Linked DNA regions of Callithrix jacchus. The protein of the gene in region 2 interacts with the protein of the main gene of each other region in a pairwise test. Links are inferred from orthologs where the notes say so. Each region holds a gene or a part of one and is shown on either strand. Other genes may lie near its edges.

The links.
Region 1: the proteins of CCNDBP1 (region 2) and U3 small nucleolar ribonucleoprotein IMP3 interact in binary tests that used the Homo sapiens proteins (3 or more experiments, as listed by UniProt). The two-hybrid records come from large-scale screens. The link is inferred for Callithrix jacchus from reciprocal best matches to the Homo sapiens genes CCNDBP1 and IMP3.
Region 3: the proteins of CCNDBP1 (region 2) and RPLP0 interact in binary tests that used the Homo sapiens proteins (3 or more experiments, as listed by UniProt). The link is inferred for Callithrix jacchus from reciprocal best matches to the Homo sapiens genes CCNDBP1 and RPLP0.
Region 4: the proteins of CCNDBP1 (region 2) and PSMB10 interact in binary tests that used the Homo sapiens proteins (3 or more experiments, as listed by UniProt). The two-hybrid records come from large-scale screens. The link is inferred for Callithrix jacchus from reciprocal best matches to the Homo sapiens genes CCNDBP1 and PSMB10.
Region 5: the proteins of CCNDBP1 (region 2) and PMP2 interact in binary tests that used the Homo sapiens proteins (3 or more experiments, as listed by UniProt). The two-hybrid records come from large-scale screens. The link is inferred for Callithrix jacchus from reciprocal best matches to the Homo sapiens genes CCNDBP1 and PMP2.
Region 6: the proteins of CCNDBP1 (region 2) and PIMREG interact in binary tests that used the Homo sapiens proteins (3 or more experiments, as listed by UniProt). The two-hybrid records come from large-scale screens. The link is inferred for Callithrix jacchus from reciprocal best matches to the Homo sapiens genes CCNDBP1 and PIMREG.
Region 7: the proteins of CCNDBP1 (region 2) and PEX39 interact in binary tests that used the Homo sapiens proteins (3 or more experiments, as listed by UniProt). The two-hybrid records come from large-scale screens. The link is inferred for Callithrix jacchus from reciprocal best matches to the Homo sapiens genes CCNDBP1 and PEX39.

What each region holds. Positions count from the first base shown.
Region 1 is NC_133509.1:22,563,217-22,566,364, forward strand, and holds U3 small nucleolar ribonucleoprotein IMP3, read right to left. Parts: upstream 1,753-3,148; 5' UTR 1,697-1,752; coding exon 1,142-1,696; 3' UTR 608-1,141; downstream 1-607. UniProt on the Homo sapiens protein: Component of the 60-80S U3 small nucleolar ribonucleoprotein (U3 snoRNP). Required for the early cleavages during pre-18S ribosomal RNA processing. Part of the small subunit (SSU) processome, first precursor of the small eukaryotic ribosomal subunit.
Region 2 is NC_133509.1:30,924,152-30,928,578, forward strand, and holds the start of CCNDBP1 (cyclin-D1-binding protein 1), read left to right. Parts: upstream 1-1,441; 5' UTR 1,442-1,506; coding exon 1,507-1,615; intron 1,616-1,780; coding exon 1,781-1,840; intron 1,841-2,119; coding exon 2,120-2,199; intron 2,200-4,427. Other genes in the region: TMEM62 (transmembrane protein 62), read left to right, coding at 260-586. UniProt on the Homo sapiens protein: May negatively regulate cell cycle progression. May act at least in part via inhibition of the cyclin-D1/CDK4 complex, thereby preventing phosphorylation of RB1 and blocking E2F-dependent transcription.
Region 3 is NC_133510.1:123,328,003-123,332,572, reverse strand, and holds the start of RPLP0 (large ribosomal subunit protein uL10), read left to right. Parts: upstream 1-1,491; 5' UTR 1,492-1,524; intron 1,525-1,772; 5' UTR 1,773-1,820; coding exon 1,821-1,874; intron 1,875-3,224; coding exon 3,225-3,400; intron 3,401-3,508; coding exon 3,509-3,596; intron 3,597-3,701; coding exon 3,702-3,848; intron 3,849-3,954; coding exon 3,955-4,140; intron 4,141-4,570.
Region 4 is NC_133521.1:25,466,028-25,470,322, forward strand, and holds PSMB10 (proteasome subunit beta type-10), read right to left. Parts: upstream 3,069-4,295; 5' UTR 2,953-3,068; coding exon 2,897-2,952; intron 2,702-2,896; coding exon 2,614-2,701; intron 2,528-2,613; coding exon 2,430-2,527; intron 2,317-2,429; coding exon 2,176-2,316; intron 1,913-2,175; coding exon 1,797-1,912; intron 1,686-1,796; coding exon 1,627-1,685; coding exon of another isoform or gene 1,510-1,626; exon of another isoform or gene 1,500-1,509; intron 1,164-1,499; coding exon 1,012-1,163; intron 892-1,011; coding exon 780-891; coding exon of another isoform or gene 775-779; 3' UTR 713-774; downstream 1-712. UniProt on the Homo sapiens protein: The proteasome is a multicatalytic proteinase complex which is characterized by its ability to cleave peptides with Arg, Phe, Tyr, Leu, and Glu adjacent to the leaving group at neutral or slightly basic pH.
Region 5 is NC_133517.1:45,253,941-45,258,274, forward strand, and holds the start of PMP2 (myelin P2 protein), read left to right. Parts: upstream 1-1,335; 5' UTR 1,336-1,388; coding exon 1,389-1,461; intron 1,462-3,454; coding exon 3,455-3,627; intron 3,628-3,838; coding exon 3,839-3,940; intron 3,941-4,334.
Region 6 is NC_133506.1:108,004,266-108,008,815, forward strand, and holds the end of PIMREG (protein PIMREG), read left to right. Parts: coding exon 1-223; intron 224-1,723; coding exon 1,724-1,815; intron 1,816-2,390; coding exon 2,391-2,421; 3' UTR 2,422-2,435; intron 2,436-2,740; 3' UTR 2,741-3,849; downstream 3,850-4,550. UniProt on the Homo sapiens protein: During mitosis, may play a role in the control of metaphase-to-anaphase transition.
Region 7 is NC_133505.1:51,396,474-51,399,207, reverse strand, and holds PEX39 (peroxisomal biogenesis factor 39), read left to right. Parts: upstream 1-1,432; 5' UTR 1,433-1,452; coding exon 1,453-1,767; 3' UTR 1,768-1,982; downstream 1,983-2,734. UniProt on the Homo sapiens protein: May be a peroxin involved in the PTS2-mediated protein import pathway.

The DNA.
Region 1 (3,148 bases), about 8.4 Mb from region 2:
CAAGCTCCAGGGTGATTATTTCCTTAGACAAGCAAACACCTCAGCCCTCTAATAGGGTACTTCCTGGGGCTGGAATATCCACAGGAAGTCCTGTGAGGAAGAGCTCTGCCAAAACATTCCTTCCAAGGAAGGGACTGGTAAAGTGACAAATATGCCGAATCCTGTACAACATCCTGCATCCTCCATATGTGGTCCCGACTGCAGAGCTCATCCACAGGCAGGTCGCTGCTGACTCTATTCCTTTTCTCTGGGTTCCTGGGATGCATAAATATGACCCTATATAAGAAAACTAGAGGCCAGGCACGGTGTCTCATGCCGGTAATCCTAGCACTTTGGGAAGCCAAGGTGAGCGGGTTACGAGGTCAGGAGTTAGAGACCAGCCCGGCCAATATGGGGAAATCATCTCAACTAAAAATACAAAAACTATCCGGGCGCAGTGGCAGGCACCTGTAATCCTAGCTACTCGGGAGGTTGAGGCAGGAGACTTGCTTGAACCCAGGAGACTGAGGTTGCAGTGAGCTGAGATCTCGCCACTGCACCCAGCCTGGGTGACAGAGCAGGAGTCCGTCTTGAGGAAAGAAGAAAACAAAAGCATACAGATAAAAAGTTGCACTTACAAAGCAGCTGAGTAATTTATTGGCATTAGGAAAGCATTCCTTTAAACAAGGGAGGAGATCCTGAACACACTAGTCTCACTGAGTTTATAAAAACTTGAGCCCACCAAACTCCCCATCATCTCTACACAGCTTAAACCCATGGCCAGGGGCAAGAATTCGAGTTAAATGAATGGAACCAGTCCAGTTACAAGTCGATAAAGGGAAACAGAGCGTGGGGATTTGCAGTTTTTGCTTTTACATTACAAAGTTTCCAACGCAAGAAGCCAACAATACCCCAGAGCAGCACCAAGTTACTTCCCACTGTTTCCCAAGGCACAAAAATCAGTAGTCCAAGTTCTAATAACATTTCCTGGAAAACAAGGACGCACCTCCAGTGGCTCTGTGCACAGCCTGCCCTTGATGTATCAAGTTCTTAAGAACCTACAACCGTCTGACACCCGTGGGGAGAGCACCCTCAGAGAATCCCAGCATCAGGTCTCAGTTTTCCCATCTGTAAAAGACAGCCGTGGAGAGTGGGAGAGCCTCTAGGCTTCCAGATCGAAGTCATCGCGCTCCTCGTTGTACTCCAGCACGTGCCGCTTGATCTTGGACGAGTCGACCCAAGTGACAAAGTCCTCCATGCTGCGCGTGACAAGGAAGGCGGGGTCGGTAACCACGTCAGGGCCCACGCGTATGTGGCCTTGCTCCACAAAAGCCACAGCAGCCTGAAGGTGCTGTGCCATGCGCAGCTTGAGGAGCACGGTGGGAAGGCGGCGGCGGCAGAAGGAGGAGGCCGTGACGAAGTCGCAAAGCTCCAGCGAACCGCGCGTGGGCACCAGGCCGAGAGCATACAGCTTGTCCAGCAGCGCGGCGGAAGCGCGCACGCGGAACGGGTCGCGTTCGGGCAGGTCGCGCAGGCGCCGCGCCAGCTCACGCACGGCACGGCTGAGCTGGTTGTAGCGCGTGTAGTCCTCCCGCCGCTGCAGCCGGTAACGCCGCAGCACGCGCAGCTCGTGTAGGTTGTGATCGGTGACCTCCCAGTTCAGGAAGTCCACCTGCTTCAGCAGCTTCTGCTCGTGGAACTTAAGCTTCCGCACCATGATGGCGGAAACCTCAGCAGCAGGACCCGAGGCTGAGAGCGCGTTCTGACGCCTGCGCGGTTTCTGCCCCAGCGCGCCAAAACCTGGAAGCCTGGGGACCCTGAGCCAATGAAAGAAAAGCTTAGGGTCACGCCCTCACTTCCCATTGGTCAAGGTGAGACCACGCCTCTGCACTGGCATCTCGCGTTTCTTTTTTTCTTCGCGTTTGGTGAAGGAGTGGGTAGATGCACCGGAGGGAGGTGGTGTGGACGGGTACCTACGAGGCTCCGCATGGTTTTTAGTAGCCAAAACTGTTTGTGTAGACATCATTTCCTCCAAGACTAATGCCCTTTGGGGACTGTTACGGTCTTCCGTGCTAGAGCTGAAGAGGCCATTTTTGGGGAAGAGGGGTGACTGTGGCTTGTTGATTGGGTTTACTGTGCTAACTGGGCTCCTGCGGTGCCGTGGGAGTGCTTGCGGGGCGGACTGTCCTGGGGCTGACCTGGTAGTTCCCGCCGGCCGCCAGCGTCAGGTCCTTTTTTTTTTTTTTTAAGACGGAGTTTCTTTCTTGTTGTCCAGGCTGGAGTGCAGTGGCGTGATCTCGGCTTACTGCAACCTCCGCCTCCCCGGTTCAAGCAGTTCTCCTCCCCCAGCCTCCTGAGTAGCTGAGATTACAAGCATGGGCCGCCACGCTGGCTAATTTTGTATTTTTACAAGAGACAGGGTTTCTCCATATTGGGCAAGCTGGTCTCGAACTCCTGATCTCAGCTGATCCGCTCACCTGGCAGGCGGAGTGATTCTTCACTGTCAAGTTGGACCAGGTGGCACCGAACCCATGAAATACTGATTGCCTGGCTGCTTCCTAGGAGCACAGAATCGGAATCTATAAGGGAGCCGCCTGGAAATCTGTATTATTAACGCAACACTTGCGTTATGAATCAGATGATTCGTAAAAAACAGCAAGTTTGAGAAACTTGGACTATAAGTACAAGTCCAAATCCTTTAGTCTGTGCTCAAATGAATTATCTTGACATGCATCTCTGGCCACCAAGCATTGAGTTGGCAAATTTAATGCTGTTTGGGTTAGTTGCATCCGTAAATTAATCTGAGGGTAGCGCTGCAGACCGAACCCCTTTTTGCCCAGGCATTTGACGCCACCTAGCTTCTCTCTGATCATTTTTGTTTGTATTCTTTTTATTGTCTTTTACAATACAATATTTGGGGGCCGGGTGCAGTGGCTCACGCCTGTAATCCCAGCACTTTGGAAGGCTGAGGTGGGAGGATCATTTGAGGCCAGGAGTTCAAGACCAGCCTAGGAAAAAAAAAAAAAAAATCCCGCCTCTGTAAAAAATCTTAAAGAATTAGCCAGGCATGGTAGTGCGTGCCTGTAGTTCTGACTACCTGGGAGGATAAGGGAGAAGAATCACTTGAATCCAGGACTTGTTGGCTGCAGTGAGCTATGATCGTGCCACT
Region 2 (4,427 bases):
TTAGTTCAATTCCAGCTTAACACCACTGGGACCTCAACATAAATTAAATGATACCTGCTTTCAAAGTGAATAAAAGGACATGGGCAAATACACAACTAGGCGCAGGTTAGCTGTTGTGTTATAAGCAACTGTGCTTGAAGCATAATTAGCTAACCCCAAGACAGAAAGCAGCATATTCTTAGAATCCATCAGTAACGCATTATTAAGACCAAACTCTTCCAAAGACTTGGGAGTAAGCTATGTTTCTGTTCTTTTCCAGTTGGCGTTTTTTAACATCCCCTTGATGGCTTACATATGTTGGAGCTTGCTGCAGCGGTGCTTTGGTCACAACTTCAGGTCTCATCTCCATCAAAGAAAATACTTAAAAATTATGCCAGTTCACCTACTTATGCTGCTGCTGTACATCTGGCAGGTTTATTCCTGCTACTTTCTTTATGCAACATACGGCACCCTAGCTTTTTTATTCTCCCCTTTGCGGACTTGGTTGACATTGTCGACACCTGTTCTCATTCGTTGTGTGTGGACACTGAACCCCACCAAGCTTGGAATCTTCATGGTGCAGTTAAAAAGCCACCTGAACTCCTGAAGGCCATGTCTCACCACTGGCAGCTGGGCAGAAGCCCAGCCTTTGTGTATGTAGCCCAGGCTTCCACCCCGGTAGTAGGTGGAAGGCCAGTATTAGTGGGTGAGTTTAGGGAGCTGCTGCTCCTTGGACTCCTGGATGTTGGAGGGATTACCCACTACTGATAACCTGCAGAGTGGACTGCAGAAAAGTCTCAAAAATGATGCTTTTATTCCTTCCCTCCCCAAGGAGGTAAAGGGTTGATTTACTATGGTGAAGAGAAAACCCTCATCTAGGACACCCACAGGGTAGGGGTTGGGTGTGTGTGTATGGGAGTATCTGAGACCCAGTGTGTTTTTTATGGCTACCCCATATAAAGCATCTACCGCTGTGCTTAGAATTCAGCAGCTGTCAAAGGCGCAGTTTCAGGGACAGGGAACCTGTGAGGATCTGGATCCGACCCCGACTACCTCTGAGATACGAGTTCCCTGGTCTATTTTCCCACAGGATTGCGGGCTCTCTGGTTCCTTAGTCGGAAGTGTTTTCAACTAATTATATAAATGAATGAATGATGAATAATAAATACCTTGGGCCGGAGCCTTCTTGTGTGGCGGGGCCTCTGGGGCGAGAGAAGGCGTGGCCTAGCCTGGCGTCTGAGAATGGAATGGGTGGTACACGACCTCTGGGAGCCGGGCGGGGTGGGGCGGGAGGAGGAGGCGGGGCCTGGCCTGGTGTCTGAGAATGGAATGGAAGGTACGGGACCTCTGGGATCCGGGTCGGGTGGGGCAAGAGGAGGCGGGGCCGGGTCTCTGGGGCGGGGCGGGGCGGCTTGTTGCCGGAAAGGAGTCCCAGACGCAGCGACCCGGAAGTAGAGCGGCTGTCACAGTGCGACTCCCGCTGCGGCGGCAGAGGCCTGTGTTTGCGGCCTTCTGCGAGCGACGAGGATGGCGAGCGCAGGGGCACCTGCAACCGCAGTCCCCACCTTGGCTCCGCCTTTGGAGCAGCTCCGGCACTTGGCAGTGGAGCTGCGGTTGCTCCTGCCTCGAGTGCGGGGTGAGCTTACGGAGTGGGAACGGGCGACGGCAGGGGCGGGCTCGGGGTCTGGGAGAGGCCGGGCTCCGGGTCGGGTAGAGGCCGGGCTCGGGCGAGGGAGGTGGCTCCGCTTACCTCAGCTTTTCTATTTGCCACCGTTCGGCCCCCCAACGCCACACCCACCAGTCGGCGAAGCCCAGGAGACTACTGAGGAGTTTAATCGAGAGATGTTTTGGAGAAGACTCAGTGAGTGCGCCTTCTGTCCGGGCTCCCCTGCCTCAGCTTCTCTAGCGTTCCAACCCCTTTCCCTCCTACTCCCCACCGCGGGAGGTGACTGCCCTCCCCCGCTGCATCCTTTCTGTGGGATGCCTTATCCACCTCGGCACCTGAGGGAGTGAAATAGAATTCTAACATCGACATTGGGAGATGTTTTTGAGAAGTCTCGGTCGGTAAGGGAACGCGCTTCTTCCAAGTCCGTGCAGCACTAACATATTGGCACCTGCCTCTCCCTCTGCCACCCCCCAGATGAGACAGCTGTGATGGTGTCAAGGGAAGCCACGACTCTGACCACAGTCTTCTCTCAGTTTCCACTGCCATCTCCACAGGTGGGCTTCACTTTCCTGGAGTCCTTGTGCTGCTGAGTTACACATTTAGGAATCCTCTCATTTTCTTTCCACCTTTTACATGCATGCCAGATTTATCTTCATCTGTCCAATGAGGTTACAGTTTTTCCTTCACCCGATTATGTGAAGACCAAATTGCAAAGTGCAGTTCCTGACGCGGAGTAGGCAGGTCTTCTAAATATTGATTCAATCAGAAGTTCACCCTGGTTGTTTTCCTTTCCGATAATTTTTTAAGCACTTTTTATTTGCTGGGTGTTTTCACATACTTGATGGCCATCAGACAGATGAGCAAGCAGGCTCAGATGCACAGGTTAAGATTTTTTTAAAAACCAAGGGAGGTAGGATTTATATCAAGATCTACCTGATGTCTAAGCTATACTTATTCTGTTATACTACATAATAACCTTTTTATATTGAATTTTTTTATATTTAAGCAGTAACATGTAGACAGTATAAAATTCAAAAGAGATCAAAGTAAAGTATACTAAAAGTTTATCTTCCCACCCACTTTCTCATTTTTGTCTCCCCCAGTTCCTTTTGCATTATTCCACATATATTCTGTGCATATATACATTCATGTACATTTATCTGTATATGTCAGCTTCTTTTTACACAAATGATAAGATACCATAAACACTGTTTGGGACCTTTCTTTATAGAAATTGACAATATGTCTTGGAAATCAACTCTTAGCAGTACCTATAAAGTTGCTCAGTTCTTTGTCATGACTGCATGGTATTCAATAGAGTAGATATAAACATAATTTAAGCAGTACTATATGTGGACATTTAAGCTGTTTCCAAATTACAATTACTGCAAACAGTTCTGTGATGAATTACCTAATTCTGTTTATGTGTGTATATAAGGAGAAAAAAAATCCCAGAAGTGGAATTGCTAGAACAAAGAATTTATGCATTTTAAGTATTCCTTTGTGATAAAACTAATGAAAGTAAACATGTTGGCTATGACCAGCTATGCTCTATGCTCAGTTTTTCTAGAGCTGTGTATCCTTAATATGGGAGTAAGATTCTTGTAAAATGGCATATTCATTGCTTTATTTGATTTTCAGTCAATAGTTTCAATTTTATCAGTCTATATATACAGGTGTTTGGAAAGAATATAAATATCTTCTGCTATGTGTACCTACAATGATAAACTCTCTCCCCCTATATACCTTTGAGTTTTGTTTGTTTGTTTGTTTGAGACAGTCTCACTCTGTCTCTGAGTCTGGAGTGCAGTGGCAAGATCTTGGCTCACTGCAACCTCCACCTCCCGAGTTCAAGCAATTCTCCTGCCTCAGCCTCTTAAGTAGCTGGGATTACAGGTGCCCACCGCCATGCCCGGCTAATTTTTGTATTTTTAGTAGAGACAGGGTTTCATTATGTTGGCCAAGCTGTTCTCATACTCCTGACCTCAGGTGATTCACATGCCTCAGCCTCCCAAAGTGCTGGGATTACAGGTGTGAGCCACTGTGCCTGGCTTACCTTTGAGATCTGCAACAAGGAAACGAGATGATTTGTATGAGAGCACTTTAAAAGATCATGGAAATAGACTACTTATTTCAAAAAGAGTAGTTAATATTATTTTTCTTATCTGCTAACCTGTTTCTTTCAAATACACTTGGGATTTGTTGCTAAAACTCACTGCAAGTAAGATACCATGAGGAGGCAGCATAGAACTGATTTTCTATACATGCTCAGGATAGTAGTTATACTCATAGATGAAAAATTAGAATATGGATTTATTTGAAATATGTACAAATATTCATGTATATAAATATATTCAAATTGTATATACATGTATGTATACACACACACACATATATATACACATGAATCATCATTGTCTTCTTGGGATCTCACCACTTTAGTCCTACTAAAAGATGAGTTTTTTTAAAATTTCAATCTGTATGGATTGATACTTTAATAAAATTATGTGCTTGGATGTTGAAGAAATGTCAAATTGCCATAAAAGTTTCTAAACACTCTCAGTCACTGTCCTTATCTCATCCCTGACTGGTCACAAACAGTTTGTAGACTGGCACCAATCTGGACCACATTTGCATAGTATTGACTTGGAATTTAACAGAAAATTGAGGACAAGGAAGATGAGAAAGCCAGTGACCACTTAGAAGGAAAATAGTCAACATGGAGCATTGTTGAGTACATGCTAGTACCTTTGGTTACATATTGTGATTCTGTTGAGAGAGA
Region 3 (4,570 bases), on a different chromosome or scaffold from region 2:
CAGTTCTGAAGCCATCACTTACTGGCTGAGAGACCTGGGCAAATTATTTAACCTTCCTGTGAGTATTCTCATCGATAAAATGGGAGTGCTAACACAGGACTGCATCTCCTCAGAGGACTGCTGTGAAGATGAGCTTCCGTAATATGCACAGAGTACTTAGGATGATGCTAACCGTGCAGTAACACATGGCCATCAGAAAGAGATCTCAGGGGTGGGCAAGGTGGCTCATGCCTGTGATCCCAGCAATTTAGGAGGCCAGGGTGGGAGGATCACTTGAGTTCAGCAGTTTGACACCAACCTGGGCAATATGGCGAAATCCCATCTATACAAAAAATTAGCCAGGCGTGGTGGTGTGCACCTGTAGTCCCAGCTACTTGGGAGGTCAAGGCTGCAATGAGCTGAGATTGCTCCACTGCATTCTGCCTGGGCAACAGAGAGAAACTCCTAAAAAAAAAAAAAAAAAAAAAAAAGATCTGATGGAGATGAATTACTCTGTGGATGTTTGTTGGCTAGTTTTCTAGGAAGAGGAAATGGCCAATGCAAAAGCCCTCCAGTGAAGCCTGCTTTGGAAAAGCAGCAGAGCATCATCTGGCTGGAAAGCAAATAAGTCAGAGGGAAAACATCTGAGATAATTATAGAGGGCATGACGGGCAGATAGGTAGGGCCTTGTAGGTAGTTTAGATTTTAGGTTTTACTCTGTAGGAAACGGAAAGTTTTGAGAAGATAAGGAGATGAGCTGACTTAAGGGTTTTTTTAATTTTGTTTTGTTTTGTTTTGAGACGGAGTCTCTCTCTGTCGCCCAGGCTGGAGTGCAATGGCACGAGCTTGGCTCACTGCCAACTTCTGTATCCCGGGTTCAAGCGATTCTCCTGCCTCAGCCTCCCCAGTAGCTGGGATTACAGGCATGCGCCACCACAGCCGGCTAATTTTTGTATTTTTAGGACAGTCTGGGTCTCGCCATGTTGGCCAGGCTGGTCCTGAACTCCTGACCGTGTCAGGTGATCCACTGGCCTTGGCCTCCCAAAGTGCTGAGAGTACAGGCAGGAGCCACCGCGGCCGGCCAGGTTTTAAAAGTATCCCTCTGTTTTGGTAGGAGGAAAAACAAACTAGAGAAACCAAGAGACCATTCTGCTCTAAGCATTGCAATTATGTCTCAGCCCCATGTCACGCTGTTTAGTTTGCTGAGCTGGCCAGGTGGCAGAGCGAACTCCCAATTAGCTTACTCTAGCGCCTACAAGAAGGCAGCTCCAGCCCAGCAGGTGGCAGCAGCTCAGAGCAAGCGCCTCCAACGCCAGGCAGCTCCTTCCTTCACGATCCTACTTAAAGGCGGCTTCCGTTAACTGAAGTGGCAGCAATATTATCCAATGGCTGCTTGTATTCGTTCGGCTTTGTCGAACGAGCGATGTCGCCAGCCAATAAGTGGGGGCGTTTATCCGCGGTTTCTGATTGGCTACTTTGTTCGCATATAAAATGAACGCTCTAGCCTGCGGCCCTTCTCTCGCCAGGCGTCCTCGTGGAAGGTTTGTGCGTCAAGCCGATCGGCGCCAGGGGCCAGAGGCGGGAAGCTTGGAGGGATCTTTGGGGGCCTTTTGGGAACATGGAGTCCTCTCCTGCTCCCCCTGGGGCCTCGGTGATGGCTCGCACTCCCCGAGGTGGCAGCGGCTGCCCCAGGCCGGGCCGCCGGGCGCTTGCGCGTGTCCTGCTCCATATAGGTCTGGGACCGGGGGATGGGTGCCGGGGTGACCAGGCCTGAGCTCCCTATCTCTCCTCAGTGACAGCGTCTTTAAACCCTGCGTGGCAATCCCTGACGCACCGCCGTGATGCCCAGGGAAGACAGGGCGACCTGGAAGTCCAACTACTTCTTGAAGATCATCGTAAGTGTGGGCTGGGTCGCCGCTGCCCTTCATGTTTCCCCAGCTCAGATAGGGACAGTCGGCTGCTAAGTGCTGAGGGTCTCCTCAGTTCCGGCTCCTGAATCAGGCCATTTTCAGGAAAATCCTGTTTAATTAACAATTCCCTGAGATAGGTCGCCTCTGTTGCAGATAAACAGGCTCAGGCAGGTGGCTAAGATGACAGCATTCATATCCAAGTCTGTTTGGCTTCCAAAAGAGTGCACATTATGCTTGCTTTTTTATTTTTTTGAGACAGAATCTCTGTCGCAAGGCTGGAGTGCAGTGGCGCGATCTCGGCTCACTGCAACCTTCGCCTCCCTGGTTCAAGCGATTATCTTGCCTCAGCCTCCCGAGTAGCTGGGACTACAGGTGCCCGCCACCACGCCCTCCTAATTTTTGTATTTTTAGTACAGAAGGGATTTCGCCATGTTGGCCAGGATGGTCTCGATCTCTTGACCTCGTCATGTGCCCGCCTAAGCCTCCCAAAGTGTTTGGATTACAGGTGTGAGCACTTTTACTCCATCTTTGAGAAGGTCTGAGGTCAGGAATGACTCATTGTAAGGAAGCAAGTTGTTGCATATTTAGGACCTGTCATTCAGGAAACTGAAGTGTCCAGTGACTCTTCTTTTGGATGGCCTTTTGGGTGGGTCCCCCTTGCCCAGAAACACTGACCATACTGCACTTAAGCAATTAGGCAGCATTGTAAAGCATAGCTTGTATTACATTCTCCAATACTTCGAAGGTTTTCAGACACAAAACCCAAAAGAACTGTACAAAAATCCAATTATCCACACCCAGATTTTTTTTTACAAGTAATATGTTGCATATTTGCTTGTGTTGTGTTTTGAAAGCTGTGAATCTACCCGTCCTCTCGACCAGCTTATTTGGAATAGTCCTTTTTTATCCTTTTTTTTTTTTTTTTTAAAGACGGGGTTTCACCATGTTGGTCAGGCCGGTCTTGAACTCTGGACCTCAGGTGATCTGCCCACCTTGGCCTCCAAAGTGCTTTTTTATCCTCTTATAACCATTTTCGTGAATCAAACATGCCTCATAATTGGGAATAGTTAAAAACTAAGAAATTAAAGGAGAAACTCCTTGATTGAATGTAGAAACCTAATTTTCACCGTTTCTACCCAGCAATCGTCATCCAGTTTGGCAGTGTTACAACGTAGCTCCTAGTGGGAAGAATGGCCCCAATCTCCCTTTTGCTTCAAAAGCCTATCAGAAAGGGAGTGAGATGGAAACAAATTGTGGCGTTTTTCAGTTTCTCCTGGCATTTTTCCCCCCTCTTTCTTCCTGTTAAACTTGGCTTTTCTCTGGCTTTTTTTGTAGCAACTATTGGATGATTATCCGAAATGCTTCATCGTGGGAGCAGACAATGTGGGCTCCAAGCAGATGCAGCAGATCCGCATGTCCCTCCGCGGGAAGGCCGTGGTGCTGATGGGCAAGAACACCATGATGCGCAAGGCCATCCGAGGGCACCTGGAAAACAACCCAGCTCTGGAGAAGTCAGTCAGTTCCCGGGGCAGCTTCGTCCTCCCTCCTCCGTGCGAGTCTCCCTCTTTCTGGAAAATGGTGCTGAAAGGTGATTGTTTTCCGTAAACTTCTCTTTGCAGACTCCTGCCTCATATCCGGGGGAATGTGGGCTTTGTGTTCACCAAGGAGGACCTCACTGAGATCAGGGACATGCTGCTGGCCAATAAGGTAAGGGGACAACTGGACTGGCTAAAGAGGCTTTTATCTTTGCTCCTTAAAGCAAAACGGACGATTCTCAGTGGAGACACTTTTCTCACTGTTGTCTTTGTTCAGGTCCCAGCTGCTGCCCGTGCTGGTGCCATCGCCCCATGTGAAGTCACTGTGCCAGCCCAGAACACCGGTCTGGGGCCAGAGAAGACCTCCTTTTTCCAGGCTTTAGGTATCACCACCAAAATCTCCAGGGGCACCATTGAAATCCTGGTGAGTGGACCTGGTTTGCCTGTGCTAGCCAGCCAAATGGGGGGCTTTTTAGTGGCCATGGGTCTGCTGGATGTTCAGGTGTTAACTGCCCCCATTTCTTGTTCAGAGTGATGTGCAGCTGATCAAGACTGGAGACAAAGTGGGAGCCAGTGAAGCCACGCTGCTGAACATGCTCAACATCTCTCCCTTCTCCTTTGGGCTGGTCATCCAGCAGGTGTTCGACAATGGCAGCATCTACAACCCCGAAGTGCTTGACATCACAGAGGAAACTCTGCACTCCCGCTTCCTGGAGGTATATGCTCTCAGCCTGGCCCCCTCTTACACTGATGGTTAAGAGCATGACAAGTGCTGGGCACGGTGGCTCAAGCCTATAATCCCAGCACTTTGGGAGGCCGAGGAGGGTGGATCACGAGGTGAAGAGATCGAGACCATCCTGGTCAACAAGGTGAAACCCCATCTCTACTAAAAATACGAAAATTAGCTGGGAATGGTGATGCGCGCCTGTAGTCCCAGCTATTCGGGAGGCTGAGGCAGGAGAATTGCTTGAACCCAGAAGGCGGAGGTTGCGGTGAGCCGAGATCGTGCCATTGCACTCCAGTCTGGGTAACAACAGTGAAACTCCATCTCAAAAAAAAAAAAGCATGACAAGTGTCACACTGAGTCCTGTGTAACCGAGGATTGTTTTCTCATCTGCCTACCTGCCTCATCTGTAAAACGTCAAA
Region 4 (4,295 bases), on a different chromosome or scaffold from region 2:
TTCTGAAGCTCCAGTGGAGTTAAGCCATTCTTGCTGAGGGCAGGATGCTCTTGCTGGTACCCAGCAGCCAGGCCTGAGACTCAGCCGGGGCCTAACAAAGGTTTGTTAGAGAAATGTGTGAGTTCTGTGACCCCTATTGGCCTGGAAAACTTGGAGTTACAAGCCCAGCATGTGCAGACAGAAGCCAAGCTTCTGTGAGCAGTGCAGGCGTGCTTCATCTTCTGAGCGGTGTCACGGGTAAGGAATGTTGCAAGGTTGAGGAGTGCTTGGTGAGACCTTGTGTTGCAGTCAGGGAGCAGCTCCTCTGTCAGCACTTTAGCCCTCAGTGGGGCCTGTGGGGGCCTGACTGAAAGGTATGGACTTTGTCCTGGGCCACTGAGGAGCCATGGAAAGTCTCTAGGAGGTGGTAGTACATGGGGTCTTTCAGGTTTTACAAGTCTCCAGTGGACCAGAGGGCAAGAGCAAGGCAATGGAGTTGGCGGGGGAGCCAGAAGGAAGGTTCAGGTGGAGACAGGATGGGGGCGTTTCATCCAAGCCTGCAGTGCTGGCAAGGGCTGGGGTTCTGGAGTAGTAGATGCCGGAGGTGATGGGTGAAGGGCATCTCATAGGCCAGGCACTGGAGCTCTGGGAGGTAATGGCTCCTGCAGGGACGCCTTAGCTACAGAGCCCCGCTGGCTGCCTGCCCACCCACTCCACTCAAGAATGACAGTCATTTGTTTAGCTGTTTGTATTTTCTGGGTTTATTCCCCCTTGTTCCAAGCTCTAAGCCTCAGCCTATTTTACTCCACCTCCATAGCCTGCACGGTTTCCTCCAGTAGCTCCAGAGTTAGTGGCTTCACTGTCTGGGTCAGGACAGCTGTGGTTCCAGGCACAAAGTGGTAGTGACCAGACCTGGGAGGAGGGACAGCTTCTGAACATGAGCCTGTCATGTGGCCCATCCCCTTCTTGCAGCCCCCATCTCTCCTGCTATGGCTCCACACATCCCTATGGTCCCCCACCTCCAGCTCTCACCTCTTCACAGGCTCTGTGGGCGAGCTCAGTGTCCTCAGTAGCTTGGCGCCTGACTTCGTGATCACACATGCATCCACATTGCCCCCGGAGCCCAGGTCACCCAAGATTCCTGCGGTGATGGCTTCCACCAGCAGCCCCTGAGCAGCCTCCAGCTGCAGTGATGGATGTGTGAGGCCTAATGGGCCCTCTGCTGTTAATTTAGGCTACAGCTTGGGGACTTGCCTGTCCACTCACCCAATCTGGTCTTGCTCCCCCAACCCTCGCTGTGTTCCTCCCTGTCTTTGGGGAGACATACATCACCTGCTTCTATCCTAGCCCAAACAAAATCTGGGCTCCAGACATTGATATAAATAGGACCCTACTGGTCCTCCCCTTCACCCTCGGTTCCAAAAGATCCTCTGTGAGCTTCGACTGCTCCCAGTCATCCAAGCTTTGGTATTGGACGGTGTGGTGTAGGGATCAAACTTCTCTGCTCTTACTCCACTCACCCTTCAGTGGTCACCTCCTCCGACGAGCCTTCCCCCACCTCCACACTGGGTCAGGGTCCTGTGCTCCCCCAGCTCCCAGGTGCACATCCCACCAGCGACCAGATAGTGGGGAACAGAGGCTGCTCACCGTCATGTCCGGCTGGAACCGGTCTTCTAGCACCGCCAGGGCCGCGTCCTGGCCAGAGCCTGAAGGCAGGAGAAGCATCTGAAGTCAACGGCTGCCACCCGGTTTGGAGTAGAAGCCTGAGGCCAAGGTCACAGGGACAGGGTTCGAGGAGAAGGGACAGAAGCGCTCACCCAGGGCCGTGAAGAGCATACGGCTGTAGGAGCCATGGGGATGTACACCGTAGAGCTGCGGTCCAGTCAGATCTACGCCGCCCACGATCAGCGATGCACCCACGTGGCCCTGGTACCTGCTCGTAGATGGGCGGAGTCGGCCACAAGCGGGGCCCAGGCCTCGGCCCTCTATGCCCCACCCAGGGGTGCTATCCCCGCCCCTTCCTGTGGCCTGGAGCTCGATAGCTGACTTCGCCTCTTCCCGTAGCCCAGCTTCTTAGTCCGGCCTCTTCCGGTCACCTGGCCCGTCACGGCCCCGCCCTCCTTTTGTTCCGCTTTTTTTATTGGCCCTGCCCCTGCAACGGCCACTCGCGGGGTCCTGTTAGCCTCGCCCTCGCACCGGAAGAGCGTCTGGCGCAGGATGCGGGTGACTGTGGGCACGCGGGGCTCGCGGCCGGTGGATAGCGCGTGTAGCTCCATCTTGGACCCCACCATTCGTGTAATCATTTCGGTGTCCGCGGCTACTCCAGCCCCACAGCAGCTGAGGGGAAAAAGGAGGATTGGCGTGGGCAGGGCTAGGACGTGCGGGGACCGGAGTAGGAACGAAGGGGCGGTTCTTTTTTGCGTGCCGGAACTAGGCTAGGGGAGTCTCACTAGATTTTGGGGGCGATGAAGTGGATTTTCTCGCAGCTCTTGTCCGCCACTACAGAATCATTAGTGGCTCGCGTGTCGGCGCCCAGAATGACCCCGTCCTGAGGAGAGGGAGGGACCGCAGCCTCAGTGCCTGCTTGATGCTCCTGGCTCCCCTCCAGCTCCCCCGTCCCTCCCCGCGGCTTACTTGGAACACAAGGCCCGCGATGGTGGTACCGGTCTTGCGTGCATGAGGGACCTTGAGTCCCGGGAGGACGCGTTCCAAGGATGCATTTCTGGAAAGGGAGGAGGGGGCGCAGGTTTCAGCTCTACTTCCAAGACCCCTGTTGCTTCCCCTAACCCGGTCCCAGTCTCCCTCATCTTCTAGTGTAAGCCTGGAACCCGTCGCTGAACACACCCTCCCCCACCCCCAACCAGGAAAAAAGGCCACGACCAAGCAGAGGCGGCTTGGGAGCGACCCTCCCCTTCACCTTTGGCAGTTCTCGAAGGAGAAACCCCCTCGGGTCTCCAGGGCTGGCTCCAGCATCTTGGGGCAGGCAGAGCCGATTAGGGGTCGCGGGCAGATGGGTGGGTCAGACAAGTGGGGCCAGTGAGGAGCTGAAAAGCCCTCTGCTAGGCTCCACGTCTGTCCTTTCTACTTTCACTTTCGCCTTTACCCTTCCTCAAAGTCCCCTGGCGGTTTTCGGCATCTTCTCTTTCACTTTCGGCTTTATGTGTGGCTCTGAGCATTTTGGGTACAGGATGATGTCCCTTGCTGGACCCTTTGTGCTGCTCATCGGGTCCTCCGTTGAACAGAGGAACAAGTCTCTTCCCTTCTGGACATTGTTTAGCTTTTCCTTCTGCTCCATCTGAGCCCCCGGCTCTTACCCCAGCCTCAACTCTGATTTCCAGTCCCAACACCCGAAGGCTGTCAGAGCCTTGGCCAGGTTTCTGCATTGTTGCTGGCTAACCAGTAGCATCAGGAGTGGCTGACTTTTGTTCCTTGTCACATTTCTTCCAACTCTTGCCTCTTTTGTTGCGTTTACTCCTCTGCGAAACCTCAAACAGAGGCTCAGTTAGCCGCAGTGATACTGGTCTTTCCATCTTCCCTGTCTCAGGTGCCATCTTCCCTCTCTCAAGAGGAGCACTGTGGCTGCTGGTTTCCACTCATGGCCAAGCCTTGTTATTTCATCTCCCAGTGACCTCTTGTCCGTAGACATCTTCTAGCACTTCTCATCTCAGCTAGCATCTTCTCCCACACTGACATTGCACTGGCCTCCCTGGTTACTTCGCAATTTTTGCCCCTCACCTCAGGCTACACTTTACCCTGCAGAGAGTCTTTCTAAATTGGAAATCTGGCACACTCTCTGGTTTAAACCCTTCAGCAGGTCGGGCCTGGTGGCTCACCACTGTAATCCCAGCATTTTGGAAGCCCAGGAGTTCGAGGCCACAGTGAGACATGGATCACGCCATTGTACTCCAGCCTGGGCAATAGACCCTGTCTCAAAGCGGGGGGCGGAGGGGAAGATTTGGGTGCTCGCGTAGGCAGCACATATACTAAAATTGGAACGACACAGAGATTAGCATGGCCCCTGTGCAGTGCAAGGATGACATGCAAATTCGTGAAGTGTTCCATATTTATTTTTTAAAAGTTACTAAAATTTTAAAAAGAAGTTTTAAAAAAAAAGATTTGGGTTTGAGCCTAAGAGCAGCATGCAGCTGCTGAAGTGTTTACTTTTTCTTTTTATTTTGAGGGAGTCTCACTCTGTTGTGATCTTGGTTCACTGCAACCTCTGCCTCCCAGGTACAAGCAGTCTTCCACCTCAGCCTCCTGAGTAGCTGGGATCGCAGGCACACACCACCATAGCTGGCTAATTTTTTTTATGCGTG
Region 5 (4,334 bases), on a different chromosome or scaffold from region 2:
GCAAATTCATCATATTTTTTTCTTATAAACAGTGCCAACCTGTTTACTAAATGTATGAAACCTGGTAATATCAGTTGTCTAACAGTCAGAATCAATGCTAAGGTTAATTTAAAAAAACCTGCTAGGAAAAGATATAGCAGTAATTAGAGATTCTTAAGAGCAACACTTATGTTCTAAGTGGATTTACATTTGTTCCCCTTGGTCAAAGACTGGGGTTTCGACATAATATAGTAGACTGGATCTCTTGATTTTTGAAACGAGCATGAGTGTTGCTAGACAATCGTGGTGCTCTCAGCATCAGTGATCTCTGGCCAGGGCCTCTGTGGATGCAGTATGTATGATATATAATAGAAGCAGGGTAAGATCATGGTTCAAAACTTAGGCACTGGTGGCAATGCTGGGTTCAAACCTGTCCTCTCCTTATTCATATTTTGGAAGCAATTTATCTAATGTCTCTCAAACTCATTTTTCTCATCGGTAAAATGGATATAATAATAGTTCCTAACTCTTGGAGTTAGTGATATAATTAAATGAGATCACCTGTACTAAGCACTTAGCAAAGTGGCCCATAATGAGCTCTGAATATACATTAGTACCCTTTCTATAAAAAATCTTCTTTTTATAAAATTGTAGACTCATTTTAAATGACTTAAACACAAAGTGGTTATAGTTGCCAGAAACCTCCTTAGTTCAGACTTTAAGTATTTTTAGATGAAAATCTTTGCTGTGGTCAAAGAACATGTTACAGTGCTACTTCTTGTTCCATCACATGAATACAATTTCTGTGCTCTGCTGCAATAGACTGACCTCTTTGTCTGCCTACTCTGCCTGCCTGGGATATGTGAACTATGCCAAGCCTTCTTACCTATGAATACTTCCTCACACTGCTCCCTTACATTTCTCTCCCACAACATATTTGAGACTGTTATCATAATACTTACAGATATTTTCCTCTCTTTCTTCCCTTTCAATAAGAATTAATTGTGCAGACTCAGGATTGAGAGTGAACGACATGCCTAAACACACACACATTCATTCACGACAATAATTCATGCAGTCTTTTCCAAAGCATGAAGGGCCTAAGCCTTCTTATAAATGTAAGATCAATCAAAAATTTTTTGAAGGTTCAAATAGTAATCTCATTCATTTTATAAATTTTTTTGGAGACAAAAGGAAGTATTATATGGGGTTTTCTTTTATCCTATTGGGTGGGCAGCTGGTCATTGAAAAGCCATTCATTGCTTAGTCCTGACATTGCCTCTCCCCATTGGGTCTCTCTAAGAGTCACATGCTCCAGGCTTCCTTGAAAAGAATCTTCTGAGGCCTCAGCATCTTATCTGAATCTCCTGAATCCCACTTAGAACTGTGTTGAGCTCTCACCCATCACGATGAGCAACAAATTCCTGGGCACCTGGAAACTTGTCTCCAGTGAACACTTTGATGATTATATGAAAGCTCTGGGTAAGAAATGCTCTTTGTTGTTCTGCTGAAAAGTCCGTTTTTAAGAAAACTACATGACATTTTCATCTAACACCTTTAACAGGAGACTGGGGAAGTTTGCACAGCCTGCAGTACAATCCTCTTTTAGGATTAATCTTTTGTTCTGTCATTCAGATAATTTATTTGCATTTTATTTGTGGTAATTTTTATAGACTTTAACTTAAATGGGAGAGCTACTTAAATGCATGGAACTCCCACTGATTTCAAAGGCAATTTCGTACCAAGAAATGCACTATTTTTGACATGCAAAATTTTGGTTGCAGACCCAAAGAAAAGAAAGCTTAAAAGCATGGTCAATCTGTTTTCCGGCTTTTCTGAGAGCTAGGTTTACAGCAATTTAGGTGCTCATAAAAGAAGGAATTGAATATATTGCAGATCCTAGAAAATCTCAATTTAAAATTTTAATTTTGATCTAAACAGGTTTTTCTCTCTACCTTTAGGTTGTTCTTTATTACACAATCACGTAGATACGGAGAGTTTGAAAAACAAAAATACTTCCTAAAATATTATGTTCATAGCCTAGGGAAGTTACTGAGAGAAAAAGAACTGGAGGTGTGGCAGTGAATTCAAACTCAATTTCACGAACGTCAGATGTTCCTGGAGTTGGAGGAGTGAATGGCGATGAAAATCCTAGTTACTAGTTACGACAACTTTATTTTATATGATTTCTAGAGTATGTCCCCTTAATATAACACAATAGATATGAAGAGTTTTGGGGAATCTTCAGAACTATATAAATATAACAATGAGTAATGCCAGTGACCTAAGGTTGCTGTACTTGTCAAAGTCTCTACTGCTTTACTTGGCTGTTAAGAAAGCTTGTATAAAACGTTCTATTTTAGGTAAAATGAGCAAAGTAATGTCATTGTTGCCTGGAACACTATGAGAACTTATGGGCATAAATTCATACTGGGAGATCTGTTAGATTTAAAGACTTCACTTTACAGCTGAGGAAGAAGCCAAGTAAGAGAAAGTCTCAGTGAAGGATTCTCTAATTTCATTGCTTTCCGATTTTAGTGTGCAAAAGGATATTTTGGGATTTGGTAAATATAAATTCTCAGACTCTGCCCCAGAGATTATGATTTAACTTGAAAAACATTGTCCTAAAATAGCAAAAGATTAATCAGAATTTGAAGAAAGAATATAGGGTATAGTTTATTGGCTATAACGCTTAACTTCTTATTTAGTATATAAAAGTTTGGGATCTTTTTAACCGGAAAAAGTATGTCCAAGCATTAAGACGTCCTGGGAAACCAGTTTCTCTTTCATATATTTTTTATTTGACATTTTTCCTTTTCCATATATTTTATAGTCTTGGTGATAATAGTAATAAAGTTAAGAGTTTAATTTTGTTTTTGAAATATAGAAGTTTTCTTTTAAAATTATTTTATTTCTCTATGATCATTTGTAATAGATTTCAAAGCTAGATGGTTAGTTTTTTTCTACCAGCTAGATAAAGAAGCTACAAAATTTCAGAAGTGAGAGCCATATCAAAAATATGAGGGGAGTACTTCTCCACATCTATAATATAGTATTGAGAGAAAATATCATGGAACAATATGTATATGCTTTAGTCGCATTTTAAAAATATCTATAGTATTTGAATGTACAAACTAAAATCTCTATAATGATTTATGCAAATCTGTAACTAGTAATTTTCAATGGGGAGTAGGATTGGATATAATAAAAATGGATGACATGCATTATTTCAGCTGGAAACTTTTACTCTTGAAAATCTGCAGACATTACTTCTGTAACAACAAAACCTAAAATGTTTGGGTTCTGGGCATGTATTTCCATTGGGAGTGAAACATGGGAGGAGATCCCTAGTAATAAGTTATACTACCTGTCATCAACACACCTGGGGCACCGCCAAGCATAGGATGTGGCCACCACAGTCTCTTCAGGTATGCTGTCTTGGGCAACATAATTCTAACACTATCTTAATTTTCAGGTGTGGGGTTAGCCACCAGAAAACTGGGAAATTTGGCCAAACCCAGTGTGATCATCAGCAAGAAAGGAGATATTATAACTATACGAACTGAAAGTACCTTTAAAAATACAGAGGTCTCCTTCAAGCTAGGCCAGGAATTTGAAGAAACCACAGCTGACAATAGAAAGGCCAAGGTAATCTTTAATGTTTCTCTTCAAAGTTGGCCCAGTGGGCTGCTTGAGAAAGAGGAATATTCCTGCTAGTGTTTAAAAGGGTAGACTCTATTCTGATGAAAAGGAGTATACCTACTGAGACATCTATTACAAAAATGATTCGGTACTGAATGAACTGCTTCTTTGATCAGCAAATCTCAGGCAAGTCAATTGCATGACCTTTTCTTTGCAGAGCATCATAACCCTGGAGAGAGGATCACTGAATCAAGTGCAGAGATGGGATGGCAAAGAGACAACCATAAAGAGAAAGCTGGTGAATGGGAGAATGGTAGTGGTAAGAGTATTTTCACTTCTAAATACAGAAATAATGCTATATAAACAACTTGATTACATTATTTTCAAAGTACTCTTTGTTTTTTGGAATATCGATGGATAAAAATGACTAAGAATAAAGTAAGAGTTAATGTTTAAGTGATATTTAAACTATTACAGGCTCCTTTTCAAGTATTGACCCAAGATTTTAGAAATAAAAAAGCCCATTTGTTATTTTAAAAATAAAAACACCTAACAATAGCAGTAAAATTAAAGAAAGTTTAGGTAAATCTTACTAGTTTGGAGTCAGAGAAACTGAGTCTAAATTTTAAAAGCAAAATACAGTCTGCAAGGCTCATTTGTAGACTATTTGCAGATATCCAACCATTTTGCATTCAAGAGGCCATAGTAACTTA
Region 6 (4,550 bases), on a different chromosome or scaffold from region 2:
AGCACAGAAGGGTAGTGGATCCCCAACTCACAGCTTGAGCCAGAAGAGCACCCGGCTGTCTGGAGCCACCCCTGCCTACTCACCCTCAGGCCCCTGGGAGAAGGCGCATCACTGCCTCTCTGCCCAGATGGGCTCATGTGCCCGCCCGTTACGGCGGTCGAGGCGGGAGGCAGCCTTCCGGAGCCCGTACTCCTCTACAGAGCCCCTCTGCTCTCCCAGGCAAGTAGGACAGTTCCTCACCCTGGGGCTGGTAGCCTTTTAGCCTGGGCACAATCCCTGCTCTCTGACCTCCTAGACACTAACTGGGCCCCAGGGGCACCCTGAGTGGAGTCACAGCGTGTAATTATTATCCTTATTGTTAAATGCGTGTCCTGCTTTAGCAGAGATCCAGGGCATGTATTTGTTCATTAGAAAATGAGACAACAGGACGGGCACAGTGGCTCATACCTGTCATCCCAGCGCTTTGGGAGGCCGAGGCGGGCGGATCACTGAAGTCAGGAGTTAAGAGACCAGCCTGGCCAACATGGTGAAACTCCATCTCTACTAAAAACATAAAATAAGCCAGGCGTGATGTACACACCTGTAATCCCAGCTACTTGGGAGGCTGACGCAGGAGCATCGCTTGAATCTGGGAGGCAAGGGTTGCAGTGAGCTGAGATCACACCACTGCACTCCAGCCTAGGCAACAGAGTGAGACTCCATCTCAAAAAAAAAAGAGAAAACAAAGCAATAACTGGATTCCTAAGGGTTTTATTTCAACTTTCCAGCTGAGCTATAGGGGGAAAGGTAGTGTAGTGTGCTAGTTAAGGCTGTCTAGTAGCTTTGGGCTGTTGGATTTTTCCCACATTTCTTTGAGGCTAGCATCTTTCTTTAGTCTCACAGGAACCTTGAGCTGTGATTAAGGCAGGCTCTGTTTTTCCCGTTTGACAGGTAAGGAAATGGAGGTCCGGAGGGGTTTGGTGATTAGCATGGGGGACATCCTGTAGGCAGTCGAGGAGTAAAGGCGGAGGTCCAGATCACCTGGATGTTCTGCCCCACCCATCAAGCTGGCCTGTCCTGCAGAATCTTCTAGTTCTCAGGCCCAGAAACTGGCCTGGCGCAGGGTAGGGAGTGAAGCTGTTCCCAGTCCGCAGACCCTGGCAGCTAGTTTCCTGTTCCCATCTCGGGGCTCCCAGGGAAGGCTGCCTACCCACTGCCCCTGCATCGTGGCAGGTGGTCACCAGGATGCGTGTTTAAGTGACCGAGTGGCTTTGCACAGTGCAGGAGCAAACCTGGAGGCTAAAATAAGGCTCGTGAACACTTCAAAAATACTCTCCACATCTGCGTTCTGACCCAGTTCTGCCCCCAGAGCTAGTGAGGGACCTGAGCCAATCAATCCTCCAGGACCTTAGTTTCCCTGTCTGTAAAGGAAGAGCTGAGCTGAGCTCTGACACAGTCACACCCACCCAAGCCTCCTAGTGAGCCCAAAAGCAAGTTTTGACTCTAACTGGAGGGCTGAGGCTCAGTTTCCAAGTGGGGAAACTGCAAAATCCCTTGCCCATGACCTCGGCCTCATGGATCTTGATCTCTCTGTTCTTTGCTCTGAGGTCACTTCCTGGAGTGAGGGTCTAGAGTGAAGCCCAGCCCACCAGGGTCATCCAGGCCCAAAGACCAGACCCTGGTATGAGGCCCACCAGGGGTTTGCAACTAGTCACTGGTGTGGGTTTTTCTTTCATTCAGTGAGTCTGACAGCGACCTAGAGCCTGTGGGGGTGGGAATTCAGCACCTACAGAAGCTGTCCCAAGAGCTAGATGAAGCCATCATGGCAGAAGAGAGGTGAGTTGGCATCCCATGCTTCAAAGTGAAATGGCCGGAAGGGCCCCTCCAGCTATCTTTGCAGGCAGGTGCCGGTTTTGCTCTGACCTGCTGTGTGACCCTGGCCAGTCTCTGCCCCTCTCTGAGCCTCAGTCTCCCTTATCTCAAACACAAGAAGAGATAAAAACCTGGACTGGGGTGATGGTAAAGGAGGCACCCTGAATGTGTGTGGTCTTCTGGGCCTTGCACCCCCACATTTGTCCATCACTTGGAATCTCACATGTGGCTGGTTCCATTCCTGAAAAGCCTACCCTTCCTCCAGAACTCTCCATGGCTCCTCTGTGCCCTCCCTGCCTATGGAATTGGGAAAAGCAACATGACTGCTATGGAATTCCTGGTCTGTCCGCTCATGACCCCATCCTGGGGGCAGGGCCTTGGTTCTGGATGTCTCCTAACTCAGGGCTGTTTCCCCATTCCACTTGTATAATGGCCATGATGGACTCTAAGGCTGGGTCTGATCTTGTCTAGCCTAGACTGGGAGGGCCCTCTCAGAGCCCACCACACCCAGTGGCATCCATCCCTCCCCTTCTCTCTAGTGGTGACATCGTCTCTCTCATTCATGGCTGATGAAGTGCCTGCAGGTAATGCCCACTGCCCCCCCTCCCCGACCCCGGAGATCTTTCCCAATGTCCTCCTCCACCTTACGCATGAGTAAGTTAAAGAAAAAGCCCACAGACCTAATGGGCACAGCAGAGTCAGTAGTATCTGCCTGCTATTTGAGGTCAGAGCTAACCTCATGACCCCCATCACTAACTGAGCATGCTGGGGGCCCCGAGTAGCTTCAGCCACCTTCTAGCACCTCTCACCCTGCAGTGGGCAGGGAAAGGCATCCCTGCTTCTCCTCCTGGAGCACAGTGAAGGGCCCAAAGGCAGCTCTGTCTTGCAGGAAACAAGCCCTGTCTGACCGCCAAGGCTTCACACCCAAGGATGTCTGTGCTTCCCCATGCGCTTCCTGGAGGAAGTCTGCAGGAGTCATCAGTACCCCTGAGCCCCTGCTAATGAGGACCTGACTAACAAGGGGCCTGGAGCCCCCCTGCTCCGGCCACATCTGGACCCATCGATGACTGCCAGCCATAGCCCGAGAGTGTCTTGGGGAGAGTGTCTGGCAGAGGTGGGGAGAATTGTACCTTCTGCTTTCCCAGGGGACTCTCGAGCTTAGAAACTCTATACACCTGACTTTGAGCTTTGTATTTGCCTCATCTGTAATGTGAAGTGCTAGCATCCGATGTTTGAGAGCTCTTAGCCATGTACCCAGGTGTCTGGTTTTGGGGGTGTCATCCGCAGAGTCACTCACTGTCTGTGTTTCTGGTGCCAAGGCTCCCGAGGGCCCCACTCTCATCCCTGCTTTCCCTATCAGGGACTCAGAGGAGGGCATAGGAGCTACTTCCAGGCTTAAGACCCTGGGCTCACAGGTACCTATTTATATGCTCGAAGCAGAGCGCTGTGGGTATGCCGGGAGGGGTAGCCTGTTCAAGAGCAATTTCTGCCCTTTGTAAATTATTTAAGAAATGTGCTTTGTCATTTTATTAGAAAGAAACCAGCGTGTGACTTTCCTAGATAACACTGCTTTCTCATAATGAAGACTGTTTGCCTTTGACATCTGTTCCCTTTCACTGCCAACCTCCAACGTCCCCCCGCCCTCCCACACCACTCTGTGCTATAGATTTGTGGTTTGGGGTCTGGCCCTCATCTACCGCTGCTCCCAGCCAGGGGGCCCCCCAGTCCCACCCCAGGGAGAACATGTATAAGCGGAAAGGTTTCTCAACTTCATTCAGAGCAAAACACATTGTAAAGGCAAATAAGGTTTTTATTTAAGTGACAACGTTTGAGAGCTAAAAACCAGCTCACATCAAAATCAAGACTAGTTGTAAAAACCGTTTAACTCCATAATGCTGTTTTTGTCTTGTTAGAAATCTGGTATCTTACATTAGCGTTTCTAACGGATTTTGTACAAGGCAGCCATAAAGAATATAATAAACCTTTTTCACCACGGAACCATCTGTCACAGATAATACTGAAAGTTACACACTTAGGAACAGTCAGACCACAGACAAGGTCAGGCTGGCTGCCACCACCAAGTAAACAAAGAGAAAAGGACAGCGGGGTCCAAGGGTGGGGGGCCCTGTGCACAAGTCGCCCTCCTCTGGCCTGCCCCTCCTTGGTGACACCTGCCTCTCCTTTGCCCGAAAGAGGGTGGAGTCAAATTCAAATTTTCCTCCCAAGAGCCTGTTAGTTTCTCAACAAGGAGAGCAGGACCTAGGTCAGGCGTCGGGGCTTGGACTTAACCCTAACTATGGTTTTTAAGAAAGTTCCCCTAAGCCTAGAAGGAAAGGAAAGAGGGGATGTTGCTTTTGGCTGAGCCAAAAGACAATAGGTTTCCAGGGCACTTCGCACCCAAACCCCCCCAGATGGGATTCGGTGGGAAAGTTGGTTGTTTAAGGCGGGGTCAGGGCTCCCCTTCCGGGGCTGCACCTGGGCTGGGTGGGAGAGTGAGGATGCAGAGGACTCTCGCCTCATGAATGACTCCAGGGTACAGCTATGGGTCCCAAAGGGGTAAAAATACAGTTTAAAAACCGTGAGATCCAGCCTCGCCTCTTCCAGAGCACCCACCACCACGAATCTCTGCAATACTAGAATTCAAACACATTCGTTTGCTGTAGCCCAGCACCCAAACAAGAGGGCCGTTCATCCCAATG
Region 7 (2,734 bases), on a different chromosome or scaffold from region 2:
TCCCACGTAGTAGGGATTACAGGCAGGTACCACCATGCCCAGCTAATTTTTTGTACTTTTTTTTTTTTAACGGAGTCTCGCTTTGTCACCAGGCCTCAGGTGATCTGCCCACCTCTGCTTCCCAAAGTGTTGGGATATTAAGTGTGAGCCACCATGCCTGGCCATTAAGCTTTGATTCTTTGATTAAGATTCACCAGATCAGTCTAGCTTTTGATAAAAAAATTTTTTTTTTTTTGAGTCAGAGTCTTGCCCAGGCTGGAGTGCAGTGGTGTGATCTTGGCTCACTGCAACCTCCACTTCCGGCGTTCAAGAGATTCTCTTGCCTCAGCCTCCTGAGTAGCTGGAATTACAAGTGTGCACCACCACAATGAGTTACTTTTTGTATTTTTAGTAGAGACAGGGTTTCACCATGTTAGTCAGGCTGGTCTTAAACTCCTGAGCTCGTGATCCACCCACCCTGGCCTCCCAAAGTGTTGGGATTACAGGCGTGAGCCACTGCGCTCCTTGGCCGCTTTTGATAATTTAAAAACCTGATTTTCCAAGCAGTCAGAGCAACTGTAGCACATCTGACCTGCCTTCACTTTCTATCTTCTCTGGGAGTACCAGGATTTGAAGAATGGCAGGAAGTGTGAAGAGAGTGATGTGGCTCTGGCTGGGTGCGGTGGCTAACACCTGTAATCCCTGCACTTTGGAAGGCCGAGGCTGGGGGATCACTTGAGGTCAGGAGTTCGAGACCAGCTTGGCCAACATGGTGAAACTCCGTCTATACTGAAAACACAAAAATTAGCTGGGCTTGGTGGCGTACACCTGTAATCCCAGCTACTAGGGAAGCTGAGGCAGGAGGATCACTTGAATCCAGGAGGCGGAGGTTGCAGTGAGCTGAGATGAGGCTGTAGTGCGCTGAGATCGTGCCACTGCATTCCGGCCTGGGCGACAGAGTGAGACTTCGTCTCAAAATAATAATAAGAGAGTAGCGTAGCTTGGTGGCGGCGTCACTCCTGAGGCCCCTTGGAACAACTCTACAGTCATGCTTTGTCCAGTGCTGCGGGGCCTAGAATGGGGATTATTCCCCGCCATGTGTTGTACCTGAATCCCTGTAAGCGCGCCTGTGGGTGTGCACAAAAGTGGGCATGTGCACGGTGCCTATGCATGTATGGGTCTTTTTGCCTGCAGCGGCGCGTCCGCAGGCATGTTCCGTCCTGTGCTAGCCTTCAGGTTTTGACGCGTCCGTCCCTTTTTCTTCTAAAGCACATTCTACGTTGGGCACTCTGGGTTTGGCTAAATCGTGCACGCGTCTAAAGCGTTTCTGCAGGAAGCTGGGTCAGAGCTCTCAAGTGCTCCCCCAGTTCTGGGCCGGCTTGGTACGGTCTACAGCCTCCCCTTCCTCCCCCCCTCGCCCCGTGGTAGTTGCACCCGTTCAGTCCGGAAGCCCGTCAGGCTTCGCGACCCGACATGGAGCGTCCCCGCAGTCCCCGCCGCTCGGCCCCGGCCCCGGCCCCGGCCTCTGCTTCGGTTACTCTGTCGCAGCTCCTGCATCTGGTTCAGCAGGGCCAGGAGATCCCGGGCCTAGAGAGACGCCACATCGCGGCGATCCACGGCGAACCCACGGCGTCCCGACTCCCGCGGAGGCCCAAGCCCTGGGAGGCCGCGGCTTTGGCTGAGTCCCCTCCTCCGACCCTCAAGATAGGAACGGCCCGGGCCCCGGCGGAGCCTGGCTTGGCTGAGGCAACGACTGCACCTTCTTCATGGCATACAGTGGGGTCCTGAGGTTCGAGGTTCTTTCCAGCGGAGATCTGGAGGGCGTGGCTCCAGTACCCTGAATGCCAGTCAGTTACTCATCTTTTGTTTCCTCTCTGACCTGCCTCAGCTGGACTTGTTCCTGCAACCACCGTCGAGGTTTCGTATTTGCATTTCTGGGACATGATACGCAGTTCAGAAAAATTCTGTTTCAGCCCTTATATGTAATAAAAGGTTTGATGATGTAACTTGGGCCCAGAATGACTTTGAGGATACATTAAAGGAAAGCCCAAAGCATTTAAATAAGCCAACCAAGACTAAAATCTTGGTTTTTGGAATCAGCTGGATCAGGCAAGGGGCTAGAAAATTAGAACTTTGGAAAGGGTGCCACAGCTACCCTGAAATTAATTAGTCCTTTTATATTAAATATGCTGCCTGGCTCAGTCCACTTACTTTCTCAACACTAGATTTTACTTTCTCTACAAAAGCTAGAGTGTACCTGGTGCGTGCTGACAGGAGCATACCCTAACCCACAGATTATGTAACAGGTCTAGCTTTTCTCAAAAATAAGGATTGTCTCAAAACTTGTTCAAAAAATTAGTTATGTCATGGTACATATACACAAGTGCATAAATTTTATAATTTGTATAAAATTATAAGTTACAAACTTGTTTCATTATGCTTTTTATTAAAAAAAAACATTTTTAGTCAACTTACTCCCTTTTTTTTTTGAGATGGAGCCTCTGTCGCCAGGCTGGAGTGCAGTGGTGCAATCCTGGCTCACTGCCACTTTGTCTCCTGGGTTCAAGCGATTCTCCTGCCCCAGTCTGCCAAGTAGCTGGGATTACAGGCACATGCCACCATGCCCAGCTAATTTTTGTATTTTTAGTAGAGATGGGGTTTCACCATGTTGGTCAGGCTGGTCTCAAACTCCTGACCTGTGATCTGCCCACCTAGCCTCCCAAAGTGCTGGGGTTATAGGTGTAAGCCACCCCGC